Linked DNA regions of Medicago truncatula. The protein of the gene in region 2 binds, or shares a complex with, the protein of the main gene of each other region. Links are inferred from orthologs where the notes say so. Each region holds a gene or a part of one and is shown on either strand. Other genes may lie near its edges.

Region 1 (10,510 bases), on a different chromosome or scaffold from region 2:
CTATTTCCTTCCCTTTATCTTCTGGGACCACGGTTGATTGATCCTTGTTAACTTTGTTAACTTCTGGACTGGGTGGAAATTTGGATGCAACATCAACACCGTTGATCTCCTCAAACTTCTCTTCAAATTGACTACAATGGCAGTGAAAGGGTGAGATCAAGAATGTCAACTTTATAGCATGTTGCAAGCTTCAAGCATCATCGCTTCATATGGCATTGTCATCTGACATGTCATTGCAACAGCTAAATGACCCTTGAAGCAAATGTTAGCAAAACACCCAAAAACATTAAGCATACCTAACAAGGTAAACATCTATTGGGCCCATTGTGCTTCTGAGGACTATCCTGTATCTTCTCTGGGGATAATCAACAGCCTAATAGGAAAAAGGGAATTTGCATTCAGAAAGACAAATCTGTTGATTACTTCTACCAACTTCTCATATCCTCTTAAATTACCTCATCAGGATCAGGTACTTCCAAAGTGGTACCATGTGGAGCTTTAATTGCTATCAAGGTTTCATTCTGGCAATAGGAAAATAGAACCAGTTAAAATCCAAAATAAATTTATATACAAGAAGCAAAGGAAACAGAAACACCACATCAAAATATTCATTGTAATTCATAAATAGGGAAACTAACCTGGAAGCAGGGCAAGTTCTTTATATCTTCCTCAGTGACAAAAAGAAACCTTTTGAGGGTGGAAAGAAAATAAAGAAAAAATACATTAAATAAAATTATGAACATAAAAGTACGGCTAAAAGACCCAAATATGGATTAAGGAAAAATAATATTACTTCTCATTATTTTCATCTTCGCTGAGATTCCGTAGTCTTTCTTGCATCTCCCTGCAATAATAATAAAAATAAACTCTTAATAGACAACAGGCAAAAACTGCAATTATGCAACAAAGAAGAATCAGCAAAGGCAAACATCCAAACCTTATTTGTTCATCCAACCGGCGTTCCTCAATTGTTAAATTTTCAATTTCTGCCTGCATATGAGAAACAAAAACAAATCAAACACCAACATTTATAAGGATTTAATACTACCATCAAATTTATTATATGCCATGAATTATATAAGTCAAAAAGTCTGTAAATTTACTTCAACCAAATAAAAAAGTATGCTTTACAAGCAGTCACACATAAAATGATTTACAGATAAGGTAGCTTCAGCTTGAATAATGGGAAGCTCTTGACAGGAAAACATGAATATCTCACCAGTCTTTCTAACTTTTAAAGAAAATCATCTACATGTGAATTCCAAAGATAAAAATTTAGTCCTTCCTAACCTGTAAACTAGCAAAACTATCATCGGCCTCCCCTGGTTTTGAAACATCCAGCCCCCTGGTCAATCATCAAAGAAATTGGTAAAAGTGTTTCAAAATTTTGGATAAAATTATGACAACAATGACTGATGAATGGAAAGAACTCCCACTTCCACTGAATTCTGTTCTTGAGCTTTTTTTCTATAAGGCCAATTCCTTCAAGAACATTTGTAATATCATATATCCTCCTCTTTTGCACCTGTAGACACAAAAGCTTCATGAAATTCTCAAACATTCCAGTAATGAGCATGTAATCTTTAGACAGGAAGCAAATGTTACCTCTAATGTGTCAGCAGCATTATTTAGATCAAGAATACCATCCTCTGCTTGTTTTATTAAAGCGATGAACTTTTTTGTCAACAGACCTATTTGTTTTTAACAATATGATATAGGTGAGAAAATGTACCCACAATCTTCACTCACCAGTAAAACATTTAAAGAAAGGGTTCATTACAAACCCACTTAACCTATTTTAGCCATTTAACCCCCCCTAAACATTGGTTTAACTTAAAACATTAAATTTTCAATTTAATTTAAATATATGTTTAACATTTTCTCAACTTGCCACCAAATTACATTTAGTTAGGAGGGTAATGTGTAAAGTAAACAATGATCGACATTAAAGTTACCCAAAATCAACATTTTCAACTTAAACCAGAGTTGAGGGAGGTTAAGTGACTGAGCGTCATGAAAAAAAGGTTGGTGGAGGTTGTTTGAAAAGGGAGAAACTACAAGTGTTTAATGTGTAACTTAAACTGTAAAGAATTGAATAACAATAAACCACCGATGATCAACAATCAACTAATCAAAACTGAAAAATTAGGCAATACCTAATGAGCTGTCATATCGACATGGACCAGCAGGGGTGAGATTATTTCCTGAAGGAGAACCTGCCAAATTTATATAAAAAGTATAACTTTTTGGTAGCCAAAATCGATAATTAAAGGAATGATGGTGTATGTTAGTTGATAGAAATCTAGTTGTCAACCAAAATATTGGCTACCCTTATTTTCTTTGAATATATTAGGAAAATGATAAATGTAGAATCCTACTTAACAAAGTTTCGAAAAAAATATTCACCAATATTTGAGCCAGGGGTTTGAGTTCCAGATCTGTTGCATTTTGTCATCCTAGAGGATTTTCCTCCTTTCCCCGCCTTTCCAGATACAGGCGTCTGAACAGAACTATTGGCTGCTGCAGTGGACCCAGGAGTCATCCTATCACCTGAATCAGCTTCAAAATCAGCTGCTTCACTCTTCCGCTTCAATTGCTGAAATGTGTGAATATAATAGTAAGTAACAATAAATAGAAAAGATTATGGATTAGTCTAAGCAGGTGCTCGCGGAGATAAGTTGACTTAAAAAAAAAGATTATATAGAGTAAGTTAGAATAGTAAGAATCGTATTTTCATAAATAATCCATTAATCATAAATCAATGTTGTTAATCTCGGATATTGGTGCAGAGCAATCGATTATACAACTGGGATAGTGCTTGCGAGGGGAAGGGAAAGAGGGGTAGAAAAGGTGAGAACAGAGGTATTTTAGTCTTCACTATGTAGAAAAGGGGGTGTCGGTAGAAAAAAAGGGGGTGTGGACCACCATTAGACTAACTTAAAGCCTAATTTCGGAAACCCTAAATTTAAAATGTTCCCTTCCCGATATTAAAAAATTAGATAGCTCCACATTGCAGTTACTTTTCCTCCTTTCTTGTTTCTACTCGCGTCTTTCTTGTACTCCATTGTTCTATATTTTTCTCTGTCGGTGTTCTTACTGAAAAACACCAGCTCATGGCAAGAAACTTCCAATTTGTGGCCAGAGTGAATGGGTTTGTGCAGTAAGACCCTTGCTTCGGCCGCAATAAGCAATTCCACCATGAAACGCAGCCGCAAACACCATACTCGATTTCCGCTGCATTTGCATTTAGCGTGGCAGCCAAGGCCTCCAGCCGTATCACGAAGCCGCAATTCAATGTAATGAGGCATTTTTAATAGCAACCATAAATATATAGCTTCACATCAATTAGAAGAAAGAAATTTACTTATAATATCTACAAATAACAACACAAGCATAACCCAATACTTTTAACTATGTCAATAGATTTTGCAAAGAATAAGAAAAAGGGAAGCGCCCTACTTGCATTTATGAGAAATGGAAAAGTTATGCACAATTTAGTTTTTTACATGAGCATAGTCTAAGGATGTGCAAGATACCCTCAGAATTCCTTAACGAGTAACATAATGATAGAATAACTCAGTTACGGTCAGTTTCCTAAAAACGTATGTATTTGGCAAACGGCAACACTACTAAGTTGACTAAATGGATTCAATTCAAAAAGGAAAAAGCGAAAGACTACAAAAATAAACTTAAAAACTCACGAAATGTGGTTTCTGAAGCAGAGTTATTTTTTTATCCACATAAAAAAATTTCGACCGAGTATGGTAACCCATTTCCTTTATTTGCCAAATTTCTTACAGAAAATCTTTGCACCAAATAGAAACCTCATTTAAAAACAACCAGGCAAAAGTAAGCTCATAAACTAAATGGGGCTTTTCAGGAGCATTTTAAAGCATCCAATAGACAGATTCATTTCCTTGCAATGTGATCCTTTCCACCTAGAATTGACCAATTATTTTCATTGCAACGTGATTCTTACCGCCTAGAATTGACCAAGTTACAATCACATCCTCTCAAGTTCCTCAATACATTGATCAAGTACTAAACCTAAGGACTAAGGGCCTGTTTGGATTGGCTTATTTGAGCTTACCTACTAGCATAAGTTTTGTGAGACTGTTTGAGAGAACTAATAAAGACAGCTTATGGCTTATTTTTTTTCTATCAAAATAAAGTTTATGTGTATGCTTATAAAAACAGCTTATGTAAGCTTATGCAAAAGTGCTTATATGATAAGCACTTGTGCCATAAGCTGCAAATAAACCATTTATCCAAACAGGCTCTAAAGCTCATATAACAGCACATATTAAAAATAAAAAATAAACACACCCACACACTCTTTTTCTATGAAGCACTGTTGCAAACACCTGACACGACACTAACAGGTCGACACCCGTAATTGAATATAACCACATGTGTTAGTGTCGTGTTGGTGTCTCACACACGTGTCAGACACTAGCATAACTTAGTTTGATTCCTCAAGCACGGAAAAAATTCCTTTTTTTAGTAAAACCTAACTAATATTCAACTCTAAGAACTAATTCAGCAACTAATCCCAACAATTTAATAACTAAATAGAAATTAAACCCTAAAATTCAATAGATCCCTAGTTCTTTAAATCACCTTACAAAAACTAAACTAAAAACCATAAAAAAAATCACAAAAAACGTAAAAAAATAATAATAATAATAAAAAAATAGAAAACTCACAGGAGTTTTAACAACAATAGCTTCAGTTTCTAGGTCTTGATTCCGGCGGTGGTCAGGAGCGAAGCGGTGATAATCAGCGGCGGCGAGAAAGGGAGGTTTCATGGAGGAGAAAGGGAGTTGACGTTGCTGCATGATCTGGTCCGGCGCGGCGGTGGCGGGAGGAGTTCGGGTGCCCGACATCCACCTGCCGGCGATGGAAGGAAATGGGAGGGAAAAGGAAGAGAGATCTATGTGTTTGGAAAGTGGGAAAAAGCGGGAGAGAGAAAGGGAAGAGGGAGAGGGAGAAGAAGATGATGATGGAGGGAATTTGGTTCGGATATTGATGTGGAGGGAAGTGCTTATAAATAAATAATGAGTTCCCAATTCAATATCAATTATTACTATTATTATTTTATTACACTATTTTATTTTATTTTTTTGTGTGTAAACCCTTTTGGTTTTAAAAAAAAAAATCTGATAATAAGTTGCTGGAAAGATAAATAAAGTTTTACAAAAAATTATTCAACTTAAAATTAAGTCACAAGGACTAATTTTAGACAAAATGAGCAGGTTTTAATTGTTTAACACAAGGGTTATAATTTTCTAGACGAAATGATAAACATAACCAAAAGACACACTATGATTGTGAGGTTTCATATTGGAATCAGATGAAAATGTTTGATTTAAAAATATTTGTATTGTTAGTTGAGTTAGATTTTATAAATTAAAACCGATATTTTACTTGTGAAAATATTAGTTAGAATTTTCATGATTATATTTAATGTCGGATAGTATTTTAAATATGATTATTTTAAAGGAGAGAATTTACTAGAAACTGAAAATAAATAAAAAATATTATTTTAAGAAAATCAAATGAAAAAAACAAACTTTTTAATTAGATTTTAATTTTAATATTTTAATACAATATTAACGTAAAAATTTATAACGTTTTTTTACAATAAAAAATGTATTATGTTGACTAGTCAAATGTTATTATATGTATAATTTAAATAGATAATGGAAGTCAAATATTTTCTGTTAGTTTTTTTTTTTGGTAGATAGACGAAATGGCAAAGCCATTATAAACTCACACACACAAGTGGAGGTACCGGGGTTCGAAGCCCGGTCATGACATCCGGCCTAACAATTTCGGCATTTTGCCAGTTGAGTTAGGACTTCTTTCTCTTAGTTAATAGTGTGTGTAAACATTTTATGTGAAGTAAATCCTAGTTTTTTTTAAAATTAATTAAATCCTATTTAGGGAAATTTTATTTTCATTTAATAAATATAAAAACTTGGATCGTGTACCAAAAGGAAAAAGACAATGGAAGAAATTTGGCCGTGTTTTTTTAATAAAACTGCCTCTGTTCGGTTAGGAATCAGCGCGAATCACACCCACGTTTTAACGGTAGTCCCGACTTTATATTCCTCCAGTCCCCAGTGCTACATAACATAACCACCATGTACTCAACTTCATTATTTTTATTTTACTTACTTCAGGGTACAATTTTCGATACAAAGATTTATAATTTAGGGGATATTCTCTAATTTGTGGTAAAGAGAGTTTACTTACCGTCAATGTTCCTTTACTGATGATGATACGTAAGTATGTTTGTTAACGTACGTCAAAAACCTGCTCTTATCTTAGAGCAGCTCCAGCGGTTAGTTATTTTGTGAGATTGTCAGCATGTAATTTGAACTTTTCATCACTTTTTTCATTGGAGACCGTGAGAGTGGCGTGACCATTGCTTGCTGAAGCAACGGTTATTAGTAGAGTATAGTGAATAAACCATAATTAGATAATATGTAAACTATGGTTAGTTACTTAGTTAGGTAGTTAAGAGTTAGTTACGAACTAACTCACTCTATAAATATCTCTCACTATTGTACTCTATGGTTATCTTTTTCAATCTAATTCAATATGAATTACAAGGATTATTCTTTTGTTTCTACCTCTCATGCCTACTTCTCCTATGAACTTCATCTTCATCTCTTTGATCCTATAGTTTCCGATATGGTATCAGAGCAATATTGTTGCACATATAGTGATTCTGAAGAGGATTCTGTTGGTGATGAAGAGGATTCGGTTGGTGATGAAGATCTTGAAGCTTCTGCTGCAGAATCTTCGTGTTCCTCCACTTCGCAAGATTGCTTCATTTTCGGTAGTTTTGGTGATTCAGTTTCCACTTCTGTTTCTTCACCGTGGAATGCTTCGTTTCAGCCAGCAGTTGATGGATTCGCCATCAAGATTGGTGAAATTCCTTGCTTTCTCGCTAATTCACGTTGTTGCACTGAGCGCAACTTTGTGTTTGATGCTTCGGAAGAAAACAAGAATTCACATAGTCTTGATTTGTTGTTTCACGCATTTGCTGAATCTACAAAACTGAACAATCGAAAATTTGTTTTCACCGTTTCTGAAGTAGCGATCAGGAACTCGAAGAGTCTCTTCACCGATTTTGTTCTCTCAAGCTCTGTACCTGTTTACGGCGTTAGTTTCTTCTTCGTCGGAGAACAGGAACATGATGTAATCACACTCAACAACAAGCTTCAATGCTTCTAGTTACATGACGAGGCAATTGTGGATTTCAATCCCGGTGGAAATCTTTGCGGTTTGTTGCCCTCTTTTCTATCAATTTCTTTTTCAATTTCATTTTTCAAGTTCACAAGTTTTGGTATTGATTGACTACAGTGGATACCATGGGACAGAGGGAAGAACCGTCTTTCGTTGTTTTCGTGAAAATCAACACAACCGTCGCATACTTGTTTTCCGGCGAACACTTGCAGGTTCGAAGTATTTTGTTTCACGACATTGATGAATTCTGCTATGGTTGAGAGATTCTGGAATGCACAAATGACAATGAGTTCAATAGCGTAATCGTGTTGTATGAACGCGATTTAGAAAAGCTGATTTGAAAAGTGCGTTTTGCAAAAGCCCGTTTGGGACAAGTTTCTTTTGGGCATGCTGTTTTGGCTCAGTTGTGTATTCAATAAGTTGCTTTGGTTCAATTTCATTTTTAATAATAAGCTGTTTTGGAAAAGGGCTTTGGGCATAATCACGTTTCTGGAAAGCTGGTTGTGAATATTGGAAGGAAGAAGAAGAAAAGTGCAGCTCATAATTCTCAGTATGTGTTCAATTGGACTTGGATCAGGATTTCACATTAGGCTTCACTAGCGTCCAGACGGGCATTCCCGTGCCCGTCTGTCCACTCTTTCTACTGCGCTAACGCATGTAACTCATAAATAGTATGTTTTTCAACATCAATGTTGTTTAGTTTTTCTTGATATATCTTGGAGAAAATTATTAGAATTCAAAGAAATATCATACATTCCCCTCAAAAAGAGAAAGTTCTAATGTGATAAAAAAAATATAAGATAGATAATACATGCACTTCTCTAACATGGAGTTATTTACGATTTACTTAGTTTTGTGATGCATACTCATCTATATAAGAAATATGAATATGCATGAAACATGAGTGAAATTTATGGGAGTGGGTTTCACGAAGACAATAAATCTTTCCTACCGCTAACACAATTTATAAAAACCTTTATTGATTACAGTTTAATCTTTTTGCATTTGACTAATATTCACCCATTCTCCATCTCTCCTATTAAAAAAAAGCTCCCTCTTTACCCAATCTACCTCTCTATTATTGCATTTGTCTAATCATTTTTATCCCTACTATTGAGTTTCCGTTTTAGTACACTTTAATCAAAACCACAAAAAGTTTGAAAAAAAAGTCATTTTGTTGGTTTTTTTTATGTCGTGAATTCAGTTTAATCAAAACCACAAAAAGTATGAAAAAAAGTCATTTTGGTGGTTTTTTTTTAGTGTTTGTAATTTAAAAAGGAAAAGTAAGCCCTCCTCTCATGAATCTTCCATCTAAACACACCATTCTAAAAAAAACATTTCTAAAAACCATAATATGTTGAATCACAATCAATATTTCTCACCAACGAACAAATAAATTTTTTGAAAGATTCTTACACACAAAAATAAAGTCTCCCAACAATACCAATGAAAATTCACTATATGTAAGTTTTCCTCAAAGGCAACTGAAAAGTAGAAGAGGAAAAAAAAAAAAAAGCAGAATATATATTTTTAAATCAAGTGTCAAAGTTATAACAATCCTAAATCAATAGCTTGATTAAAGAAACAAACAATAGATACCTAAGAGCACCAAAGAATTGATCTAGAACGGAAATAAGTAAAAACCAAACATATGCAAAAAAATATATGAATTATTTGACACACCAAATTACATTGTTACTTCCTTTTTTATTAATTAAATATGATGCACAATAAGCTCTTACATATATAAAAGGGTTTATCACCTTTGTAATTTATTTATTAAAATGAGAATAAACATTGCTATGAACCAAATATTATTCATTGATCCATGCAACACGAACGCCTTGATCTGAACTTGAAAAGAAAGAAAGATATTTCCATTACCATGGAATTGTTGAATACCCATAAAACCAAATTAAAAATGTCAACAAAAAAAAAAAACAATCATCAAACATAGAAAATATATAGAGAGAAGTCATGAGTGAAGATGAATAGTCATTGTCATTAATATGGTACAATGCTTGATTAACCACCGTCTCCTAGGTGAAAGATGAATATTCGAACAATCAATTTGCTTCTATGGCGCTACATTGCGACAACCAAGTTTCTTGGTGGCAATTTCCTGTTACAAAAATATCATATGTTAATCTCCTTGTCTACCTCATTTCCTAATCTTAGCAGGTGTTTCAATCCAAAGAGAACTTACGTGTTAATAATCGTGGGGTTTCTTGGTTCTATCTCTTTGTTGTCTTTCTCGCAATCTTTTGTTAATAACCAACAAAGAGAGAGAACCAAAGGGTTAGAAATACCACCACCACCATGGTCCATATGCATGTTGTCCTCTGGCTACGACCGTGTGGGCTTCCCAGCTCATTACCTTTTGTATCCATGCATGTTCATCTCTCTTCTCTCATCCTCATTTTCTGATGATTAACAGGCTTCCAATTTCACTTTAGTGTCTGTATGTGTGACAATTAGTTTATAGTTTTTTTTAAGGGATCAATTACATGTTTCTCTAGTAAGTGGTTATCTATGACATGTTCACTATATTATACTTGTTAAATCCACTCAAAGTAAGGGAGATAATCAATTTTTTTTTTTTTTACAACCAAGGAAGATAATCAATTAAAACATGAAAAAAACAATATAATACTAAAGGATAAAAAATAAAAATATAATACTAAAGGATAAAAAAAAAATGGTAAAGTAATTAAATTTCAAGTCATAACCTTTAATTTGAAACACGTCATAGAATTTTCCATTTCCTTTCAACTCCTCCCCCTTAAAATTTTTTTGTTATCTCTTTCCATTAGAGTTTCTTAATTATAAGAAATGGCCATCCTTTCAATTTGCATCGCAACGTCACTACACAAAATCAAGGGGAAGAAGTAAATTAGTTGGAGATAAAATTAAGAGTAGAAATTAACTAAAAAGAATCTAAAAAATTTAGAAGAAAACAATCTATGTTTTCAAAACAAAGTGACTGTGCTTTCGTTAAAACTTTGTAACATGCAATGAAAACTATGAATAAACCACTTTCTCGGTCTTTTGCGCAACATTTATCCTTCCATCATTGGTGTGATTGCCAAGAGAGTATAGTCTACGTTGAAGCCACCATTAGAGGGTGACCTCCATATCCCCTACTTTTCTACCATTTTCTTTTTCTTTCCCCCCTTTCTTTTGTGTTTGGAAGATGTATTTTTTCCTCTTTGCTTTCTGGATTGTTAATTTGAGGGCATCTACAAACTGAAAA
Region 2 (10,510 bases):
AGGTGTTTATAAACAAAGGGGATTTCCATGCTGAAGGTGATTCAAAGCTTTTCCTAAAAGGCATTCCTCCAAAACTGAAACCAAAAGAGAAGTTACTCAGAAACAATGTGATCCATTAAAAACTTTGAAAAAAATTTAGATAACAATAAAATCATGTTAAGGAATAGTACATGTTATTTGTTTCAAAACCATCATCATTTCCGGTTTGATCATCCATATTCTCTCCTGGGATTGATGATGAACAGATGGATTGTACACAAGTAACAGAAACTGAGAGTCTTTCGTGCTCCTTTAATCGAACACAAGGAGAGCTAAATCTTGAGACTGATTTTTGATGACTTCGAGCACTTAAACTTAGAACTATGTCTGATTTCAAACCAACTTGATTAGGAGAATACAGCGATGGATCATTCATATCATGTTCAATCAAAACTCGAGAAGGCTGTTGCACCTGACCAGTAAAAATAACAAGTCAATATTACAAAATTTGGACTGCAATCGACCACAATAGAATAATAACATTTTGGAGCACAGTGACAAGTTAGTATTTACAACTATTAATATTCTTAAGAGACAAGGATCATGGTGGTTTCTCGAATAGTAAAAGTAGTACTTACAATTTCAGCAGTGGTATCAATATCATTCTTCATCTTAGAATCAGCATCAAGTGGAGGCTGCTCAATCTTCTCCTCAGAGTTACTTTTATCCTCCACCATAAAAGCTGGTCCACGATTTTCTTTATCATGTTCAATACCTTGAGTCTCATTGTCATCAAACATGACATCCAAACGGGAAAAGTTTCTAATCAAAGTTGACGTCATGTCAATCTCATGTTTCTTCTCCATTCTTCTATCTGATAGTGGAGATAAAAGGTCTCTTTCTCGGTTTCGTTTCTTCTTCTTCATTATGGACGGTGTACTTGTGAAAGTTTTAGCAGCACTTTTTAACAAAGCGTCCGGACTATCAATGCGAGAAGGTGAGTCCCACAATCTGAAAGGAGTCAGACAGTTCATAGAAGACATCATAAACTGGCGGATACCTAAGGGACTAAATTCTTGCTGCATATCTCCAGATTGTATAAGATCACAGCTCAAGAAAGGTATATCCAAGCTTGGAAAACGGGGCGGTTCATAACATAGAGTTCCTCCTGTTTCCTCCTGTTGTGTATGCACATTTGGCTTTTCATCAATTGGATAGCAAGTTTGCATCGTATCTGATCCACATCCAGAATTACTTACAGGCTCCAATTTTAAACTATCATCTTTCACAACATCTTCCCTCGAGTCAAATTGCTGATCCACAGAGCCGACCAACTGATTTGCTTCGGCAGTAGACATTATCATCCTACTATCAGATGGTAAAGACGAATGACAAAGAGATGAAGTGTATCCAGACAAGTCAACATTATTTACTCCTCCAGAGGAAAAACATTCATCGCTCATTGCCTCTGAAAATAGGAATCTGCAACATTCATCATCAGTTATCAACATGTTTTGTTCTCCTTTAGCATTGCCCATAGATGAAGGCCGATATTCATATGGAACAATCATCATGTTTTCACCAGAAGCTAAAGAATCATTTTGCAACTGCGTCGATTCCTGCCCAAAGTCCAGTGAGGTGGGCAAAGCATGTAAATTAAATTGGCAGTCCACATTTGCGGAGGAACTCCCAGGTTCGTTTGAATATTTTTGCTCAAGAAATTGAGAGGAGCAAACCTCTTGGAGAGTAACACCATCCAGAGACATGTAATATGGCTCTGAACATGATGCTTGATTAGATTCTTCATTTTGCCTGTACTCCTCCACATTTTGTATAACGGCAATGCTCAACTCTCTGCCAGACGGAAAGTGACTAGCATTAATGGACTCCTGGCTACACTGTGAAACTTCCTCACCTTCTGTGCCCCTAGGACCATTATCATCTACACTAAACTGCAACCTTGCAGAGGATGAAGCAATAGGTTGATTCGGATTTCCAACAAGTGGGACATTTTGAAACTGAGCAAGCAAGCCTGACGCCAAGTAGGAATCCAATTTTTTCTTAACAGAACTATTCCAGTGGTTCTTTATAGCATTGTCTGTCCTGTTTCCACATCAGAAAATGAAAAATCACATTTTCAAATGCTAACTAATAAACAGAAGTAAAAAATGAATCTAAATTTCAGCCAGAAAAACATGCATATTCTGATAGCATGATATTTTTATTGATAAAAATTGATATTTTTTTCTACCTGACGCCAGTACTGTAGGGTATCCAGATCTCTAATGAAATCAGCCCATAAAATACATAAGAAACAGTGATTCCAAAAATGAAGTGAGAGCATGGTTGCATTGCATGCACTTTTCAACTTCATTCCTTATTTAAATGAAATGCAAAAACCAAATTAACGTGTATTTACCTTCCAGGCAAAAACTTTGATAACTCTGCCCATCTATTCCCATATATCTGATGAGCATGTATTAGAGCCAACTCTTCTTCCTGCGTCCATGCTTCTTTGTTTATAGAAGGATTAAGATGATTATGCCACCTAATAATTTTTCAAAAATTATCATTATCAGCGAGAATGAGAATTGACTACTACAACCCCCCAAGCGTAATTTAATTTATATATGTGTGTGTGCAATACGGAAAAAATACAACAACAACCAAGTCTTATCCCACTAAGTGGCAATAAGAAAATGTAGTCGGAATAAATATTAAATACATTGTACTCTAATTTAATGTTTTTGGACGTAAAGTATGTTAATCATAACATACATTAACTATTAGAAATCCAATAACCATACCTTTCTCGACATTGCTTACCGATACGTCCAGGTAAATGTTGTGCTATAGTAGACCACTTTTTAGGCCCATATTTGTTTACCAAATCAACAATTGTTTCATCTTCCTGTTTGCATTCAGATTGATAGGTAAGTAAATAACAGATCTCCAAACAGAAAATGGATAGAATAGGCTATCATGTCAGAACCAACACAAAATTGCTAAGTATATAATCAACACCGGCAAGAAATGAGAAGTTGATATTACCTCTTTGGACCAAGGACCTTTGATAAGTTCTGGATTTAAGACTTTTTGCCACCTATGCAGGCATTGTACATCAGTTCTATCCTTGAAACACTCCGCTGCAAACACATTGTACAATCATAACAAGTCAAAAAACAATATTGAATAGGTGTAAAGACAACAAAAAAATATAAATTGAGTTTACTACAAATATATAGATTGATTCCCCAACAAACACCAGTTCTTTTTCCCATTTTAAATCTCCTCAGTTAAGCCTGTAAAGGTCCAACTGAAAAAGCTCGTCTAGTTTTATGAAGAATTGGACACAACCAATGCTCCACTATGCAGTTATACGCCAAAAGAAGTATGTCGTGAAAATATTACCTATTTTTTTCCAATTTTTTCCTTGAAAACGCTCAACAGCCTTCCTCAATATATTATCCTGCATACACAGAATTCATGTATTTCACTTGATCATATAATACATTTTTACATAGAAGAATTTCAAAGAAAAATCAAGTACAGCTTCTAAATGCACATGTATACAAAAAAAGTCATTGCATTATTTAGCCATTTATGATCTTCAAAGAAGTCTACACAATAACTATTAACTATAATGATTGAAAGTGAAAAAGTTAACACAATAAGTCTATAGATGCTAAATTTCACATGATACAAAATTTTATTGTGTCTCCCCTAAAACAGACAAATGAAGTTGCAGTGGAGCAATGTTACCAAACTTTAGAAAGATGTAATATGTTAAAAGTATTAAAAATTCACCTCCTCGGGTGTCCATTGTCCTTTAGTGGATCGCCTTGTAGGGCCAGTAGTCCTCCTGCAAATACGTGCGTAATTGTATGAGTAAACTCATTTCACTGCTTATAAATATATAATGACATGTTATAGATTTCATAAAAAAAAAAATTTAAATGTCGAAACGTTTTAAAATCCTCATAAAGTATATGTCTTTTGTCTTTTGCATATAAAATTTTCATAATCTTCAATTTTGTTTGGCAACTGCTCAATCTCATTATAGTAGCTAAGCTACCACCATTGATTGACCAGGTATAGTGACCTTAATGAATAATAATTAAAGTGGATACACCCCATTGAAGTTGAAAAAGTTTAGAGAGTGCCTCATTTTGGCTTTTCTTGTGCAACTTCACACTCAGGTGTTAAGCCAGCAATGTGGCACCGATTGGAAGTGTCGGAGTGTACAGGGGACGGGTGCATCTATTCGACTTTGGTTGAACAAATCAAATCAGCAGAAATGTGACAGAAAAATGTGACAAATGTGATAGGAAAATGTCACAAGTATAATGTTACCACTCTTGCAGACCTCTTTTCAACTAGCTTAAGGAAAAAAGGTGTAGGAAAATTGTAATGACAGATGCGATAAGCTATAATTGGGAAAATAAGGATTCATTTCTTTGTCTTGGTAATAAATCATTTCATAATCAAAAGAAAGCAAATAACAACTCCAAACATAAACATACCAATGAATCTAAAATTTACTTCCAAAAGGGGTATCTGAGATTAAAGCAACAAGTGCATATCAAGCATGTTAGTAAAACAAAAGATGAATTTAAGATTTACCCATGTAATGCTCTAATTTTCTGTACGCCATCTGATAAAGCAGGAATTGTCGACTCACTTCCCATAGTGTACCGGAATTTCGACTTGTCTGCAATTATCTCCACAATTTGTCCTCCAAATCATTCTAATCCCTAATCCACACTTGTAAAATTACCCAAGCAAAAATTCCTGCAAACAAACATATGAATCAATATAAATTGAATTCAAATTTCAAAAATAAATCACATAAGTCGCACAAAGTGGGATCCGCTACATGGATCAAACACATGGCGGCATTACGAATGAAATAGAGAAATTTAAACAGACTGGATCCTTACAAAATCAAACAATTAAAGTAAAAAATTCAAAAAAAGGAAGAAAAAAAATAAGGAATTCAAATTTAAAGCAATTTGAAAACTCGGAATAGAATTTACATTTAAGCATAAATATGAGTTGTAGATTGGAGAATAAACATAAATATAAACATGAAGAAGAAATCGAAATCAAAATGCAAGCGTTCACCAACCATTGTTCAAAAAAAAAAACACCAACCAGATTGAGCTTCAGAAATGAAGATATTCGAGAAAATAGATGAGGAAATTGAAACTGTGTGAAAATGAAAATCCGAATGGATGGATGTTGAAGAAAGATCTAGAATTTGACATCAACATTCAAAGTAGGGAGAAGAATAAGAAGAGGTTTTAGTGAGAGAAAGTGTTAAAGGAAACGGTCTTCTCAATATTCAAACTCAAACATAAAGGGGCGGAAACTATTTTCTCTTTTTCTTTTCTTTTCTTTTTTGATTTTTTTTTTCTTTTTTCCTTTTTTCACAAACAATATTATTGACTTTTTTAAAATGAACGGTCGTGATGAGAAACGTCGGAGTCAAGGTTCACATTTTACCTTGAGTTTTTATTTTTCCAAAAGTGCAACGGTCATATTTTTTATTTTCTTTCTTTCAGATTTCCTCCACATATTTTTCTGAAGTTTGTTTTTTTAGCAGATTTTTTCTGGAGTTTACTAATATTTTTACATTATATCACCTACTTACATTAATGCTTAATGGAAAATACTAACAAATGTTTTTTTGTGGTGTTTTTGCTAACGAATGTTTTAGGATATTTTTTAAGCATTTAAAAACAATAATTTTTATATTAAAAATTGTGTAGTTATAACTTTTACATGTGTTTGACTTGTATTTCTAAGATAAAATGTTTTTTTTTATATGTTTCTTAAACAATGTTCTTAAAACACTGCGTAACTCATTTTTAAAATATAGTATTTTTGTAAGTATCTTTTCATGAAAAACTATAAAGATTAATTTTTATACATTTTTGCCGTAAAACTTTTTTAGATATGCATTAAATCAAAACATTCTAAATACATTGTTTGTTTAATTAATATACATTGTCGGTTTATAAATATTCTACAATGAATTCAACGATGTGTTGTCGCGTAAGTTAATGAATACGTGAACTCGTGTGTTTTCATATTCATTAATTGACGTTGTAAGACATCATTTGATACATGTGTAAAATAATTTTACATTGTTAAATTTGATACATGTGTAAAATATGAAAATTTGATATTTTGAAAATATTCATCGAGACGAATTCAACGATATTTTATATGATATTATTTATCTTTGTATATTAGCAGAAAAATATAGTCAAATTATGTTTGGTCAATAGTGCATATTTTCAAATAGATCATCTATTGAAGGACGGATGAAGTATATAGCAATTAACTCAATGATATTTATAAAAGACGTTTTAAAAACTAACTTAAAAAATGTAGCATCGGATATTTATGTTGCCCTGTGTTTACAAATTAAATCTCTTTTTGTGGCGTCTTTTTTTGTGGTGTTTTACGAATTAAATCTAAAACTAAATATATATTTTTAAGTATCTATGTGTTGTTTGTTTCAAAAAAAAGTATATATGTGTTGTCAAAATAAATTATCTCTGTGATATGAAGTGTCATGCACGTATAAAATTTTACAATTTACTAAACTTCCCTTTTCCCCATTTTATTTTGAGTTCTAACGCAAGAAACAACAAACACGGCCGTATTATCTATTTTTACTCAGGATTAAAACAAGTTACCCAAAAAAACAAGATTATGCTTTAAAGAAAGAAGTTTTTATTTTGAAAGAAGATCAAAACGTCCCATATGTGAAAATTCATTAAATAAATATTAAAATATTTTTTAAGAAAACTGTCGAAGTAAGAGAATCTCAATGACAATAACAATAGCATAATTTTTTTTTTCCTAAAGGTTTAATCGAACATAAAAAATAAAAATAAAAAAGAAACAACAACTTCTTGTCAAAAAAAAAAAAAACAACCACAACAACTTCGAAGGTTCTTTGAAAAAACAACTTTGAAGGATTTTAATTTAATTAAAGGTGCAATATTTAGTTTCTTTAATGCAAATAATAATAACTAGATTAATTTACTAAGATTGTCAATAGATCATTTACCGAAAGAAAACAAAATGCCAATATATATCATGTATGTAAAGTAAAAAGGAAACAAATTTGGCAATTTTCTTTAGGTCAATATAATTATATAAAAACACGGGTTGCAACCATTGAATTAAGTTGGATTTTAAGGGGGAATTAAGAAGAATTTTTGTTTGAATCATTGAGTTAAGATTAATTTATGTTGACAAGATTGAATTAAGATTAATTAAGACTTATGACTCGGATCATTTTATTTTATGTATGATGACTTAAAATTCATTGAAACTCGGCAAATCAGGACGGTTTTTGTTCTTTTCTTCACCGAAATATGTAATTAGAATTGGACTTTTGCTTTGGACAGTTCTGCTCAATTGATCGAATCATCGAGTTTTACTTAAAAACACTTTTGTTCACATCCACATGGGATTTAGTAGGAATCGTGGATCTGCATGTGCAAATTGGGCATACACCCATTTGAATCAATATATGTTTTCTGTTGAGTCTCTTCCTTCAAGGGTTCAAAACAACAAATACATGACTGTTTTGAGGATTACAGCAAAGGATGAATGGGGTAACATGAAGAGTATATCTAATTATAGCATAAGAAAAAACCAGAATAATTTTTTTGAAAGAAGAAAAAACCAGAATATTGTTGCTATTATTAGGATTAGTCACAATGAATCAACCAGCTAATTTATTTTGAATAGATCCTAGGTTTTAGTTTTATAGCAAATGTTGGTAGTTAGTTTGTTAGATCAATATTTTATTCCATGATCGGGTTTGATCCAATACCTCCAAGACTTTTTTTCCTTAACTCAAACTAGTTGAGTTGAGCTGTCCAACCCCCCCGCCTATGGTCATATACTTATATTTATTTGTTCTTATTTCTCATGTTAGCCATGTGTTTGTATCAAAGTCGTTCCCGTCCCGGCTGATGAAACTAGCATCAGCACTGTAAGTGTACTATTAGATGTCAACTTATATAAGACTTTTTAAACTAGCATCTACAATGTACGTCTAATAAAACTTTACTATATGAGGAATGATATTTTGACAACCAATTTTAGACAACTTTGGGTGACAACCTTTTTCCTCCATTCTTATTGGACAATAGCAATAGAGAGAAAGAAAAAGGAAGAGAGAGAATAAAGTATAATGAGAGTATGAGAGAGTTGTCACCGAAGTTGTTAAAAATGATTGTTCAAATATCATTTCTCTCAACTCAACCATAATAACAATAAGAGTAATGATATTTTGACAATCAATTTTCAACAACTTTCAGTGACAACGTTTTTCCTCTTTTTATTGGACAATAACAATAGAGAGAGAAAAAGGAAGAGAGAGAATAAAAATACAATGAGAGTATGAGAGAGAGTGTTGTCACAAAAGTTGTTAAAAATGGATGATCAAATATCATTACTCTAACAATAAACCTGTTCAATTCAGCTCCAAGTGTAGTAAATTGGATCACGTTTGAACTTTGAAGTGAAAACACGTCTCTAATATCTTTATGACTGGCTTATAACCTCTCCAACAAGAGTGGTTTTTTCAGCTTCGTGATGAAATGTGCAAACCAGCAAAATATCATCACTGTTAGGGCATACATACATAACTTACATGTATGCTTATGTGCTACTCTTGCAGCCTCTCACTAAATAATATTCTATTCCTACCATTAGTCTTGTGATAAAAAAATAAACGAGCTTCTCTGCCAGTACCATGAATACTTCAAAATGCCCTGATAATTTATCGCATAGTTAACAATTTCCTAAAAGCAAAAGTTTAAACCTGACAAGCCTAACAAGACTCAAAATTATAGCAAGAAACATCAGTTTTTGACTCGACTGTGAGAAAATAAAATAAAAACCATTGTCACAAGCAAAGTTATAAATCAGGTATATAACCATCACAAGGTATGAAAACCAATCATTGCATTCTCCCCTCCCTATTTTATATTCTCCTTTATCCCTAAATCACAGTTGGGTACACACACCACTTGGTTTCCTTAACCAAGACAATGATGCAGTTTCAGATTCCAGTTGGGTTATTTAATCATGGCAGCAAGTTGACCACCAGTCATTTGTCTATAAGCCAATAACCAATGTTTACATGAAATCCTCCTCCACTTCCTGGAATGATCTGCTTCCTGAAGCAATGTCTTTGTTGGATGTCATATTTTCTGCGACCATCAAACCCTTGTAGCTCCTAAGCTCTGATTGTTTCTCCTTTTCTAGTCTGTCTATTTCCTCACGGCGCTTCTGCACACAGAAACATGTGATTTGATTCTAGCAATTGTTCAAAGAAAAAACAATTGAACTAGATCAAGAAAACACTAAGATGTTACACGACAATGAAGATATTTCATTTTTAGCAGGCAAAGAAAACACCATGAACCTTAGGCCCAATCCTCAAATTCTTAACAAAGTTCACACATATAACATCCTAAAGGACAACAAGATACAAAGTGACACAAAGTACTCAAGTAGTGCCTTAGGACAAAGGAAAAGATAAATTATATAGTAGACAACTATGCCCCAAGGAGAATGCAACATGTCAGTCACAAAGAATGCTTCTGCACACAGAAACATGTGATTTAATTCTAGTAATTGTTCAAGAAAAAAACAATTGAACTAGATCAAGAAGACACTGAAATGTTACGCTACAAAGATATTTCACTGTTAGAAGGCAAAGAAGACACTGAACCTTAGGCTGGATTCTAAAATTCTTAACAAAGTTTACAAACATAACATCCTAAATAACAACAAGATGGAAAGTGACTCAAAGAACTCAAGCAGTGCACCAGGACATAGGGAAAAATAAATTACATTTTAGACAACTGTGCCCTGAAGAGAATGCAACATAGACAGCGGTAAAAATACAAACAATCATTCACCAATTTGTTTCGGAGCACAGCCATTGGTCAAAGATCTAATAGAAGAGTTTGTGCAATATTTTATGAGTTTGACAATGATATGGAACTCATTTGTTTCAAATTTAATCACTTCCTAGGATTTTCTATCTGTTTATTTCAGCATTGGGAAACAACTAGAATAAAAACACCGGATTATAATGACTATTAGTAGCTTTTGAGAAATAATTTGATATTAATGTGTGATATATTCATTCACTTATGCTTTGTATAAAAAACCTCTAAAATAATCACTAGCCAGGGTAATCTAATGTAAAAATCACTATTATTAATTTTAAACAAACTGACTCTATATAATGTCATCTTAAGTGTTTAAATAAGTTTGTTTTTTTAGCAAAAGTGTTTAAATAAGTTAACAATATATCATGAGGTGCTAAACATATTCCATGATGTATGTGACAATACATTGTTGTATGCCTGGATGCAAGTGTACAGATTTTTTGCAATGACAATGCATCAAAATTAAATTATACTAGTAGAATCTGATGTTGTCTGCATAATATATTGTGCTTAGATACTTTGGTTATGCATGAATT

What was found. Proteins that work in one complex are often made in the same cells at the same time.
Region 1: transcription factor MYB3R-1 (region 2) and transcription factor E2FB share a complex: the UniProt entries of both Arabidopsis thaliana proteins name them as parts of the DREAM-like complex. The link is inferred for Medicago truncatula from reciprocal best matches to the Arabidopsis thaliana genes MYB3R-4 and E2F1.

Annotation. Positions count from the first base shown.
Region 1 is NC_053045.1:26,837,917-26,848,426, reverse strand, and holds the start of transcription factor E2FB, read right to left. Parts: upstream 5,035-10,510; 5' UTR 4,887-5,034; coding exon 4,707-4,886; intron 2,597-4,706; coding exon 2,407-2,596; intron 2,217-2,406; coding exon 2,157-2,216; intron 1,692-2,156; coding exon 1,606-1,691; intron 1,526-1,605; coding exon 1,437-1,525; intron 1,346-1,436; coding exon 1,291-1,345; intron 991-1,290; coding exon 938-990; intron 845-937; coding exon 794-844; intron 688-793; coding exon 639-687; intron 522-638; coding exon 456-521; intron 374-455; coding exon 297-373; intron 132-296; coding exon 1-131. UniProt on the Arabidopsis thaliana protein: Transcription activator that binds DNA cooperatively with DP proteins through the E2 recognition site, 5'-TTTC[CG]CGC-3' found in the promoter region of a number of genes whose products are involved in cell cycle regulation or in DNA replication.
Region 2 is NC_053044.1:54,290,548-54,301,057, reverse strand, and holds the start of transcription factor MYB3R-1, read right to left. Parts: upstream 5,336-10,510; 5' UTR 5,134-5,335; exon of another isoform or gene 5,108-5,133; intron 4,771-5,107; 5' UTR 4,668-4,770; coding exon 4,603-4,667; intron 3,842-4,602; coding exon 3,787-3,841; intron 3,449-3,786; coding exon 3,391-3,448; intron 3,126-3,390; coding exon 3,031-3,125; intron 2,891-3,030; coding exon 2,787-2,890; intron 2,528-2,786; coding exon 2,399-2,527; intron 2,083-2,398; coding exon 618-2,082; intron 452-617; coding exon 171-451; intron 75-170; coding exon 1-74. Other genes in the region: coiled-coil domain-containing protein 25, read right to left, coding at 9,151-9,303. UniProt on the Arabidopsis thaliana protein: Transcription factor that binds 5'-AACGG-3' motifs in gene promoters. Involved in the regulation of cytokinesis, probably via the activation of several G2/M phase-specific genes transcription (e.g. KNOLLE). Required for the maintenance of diploidy.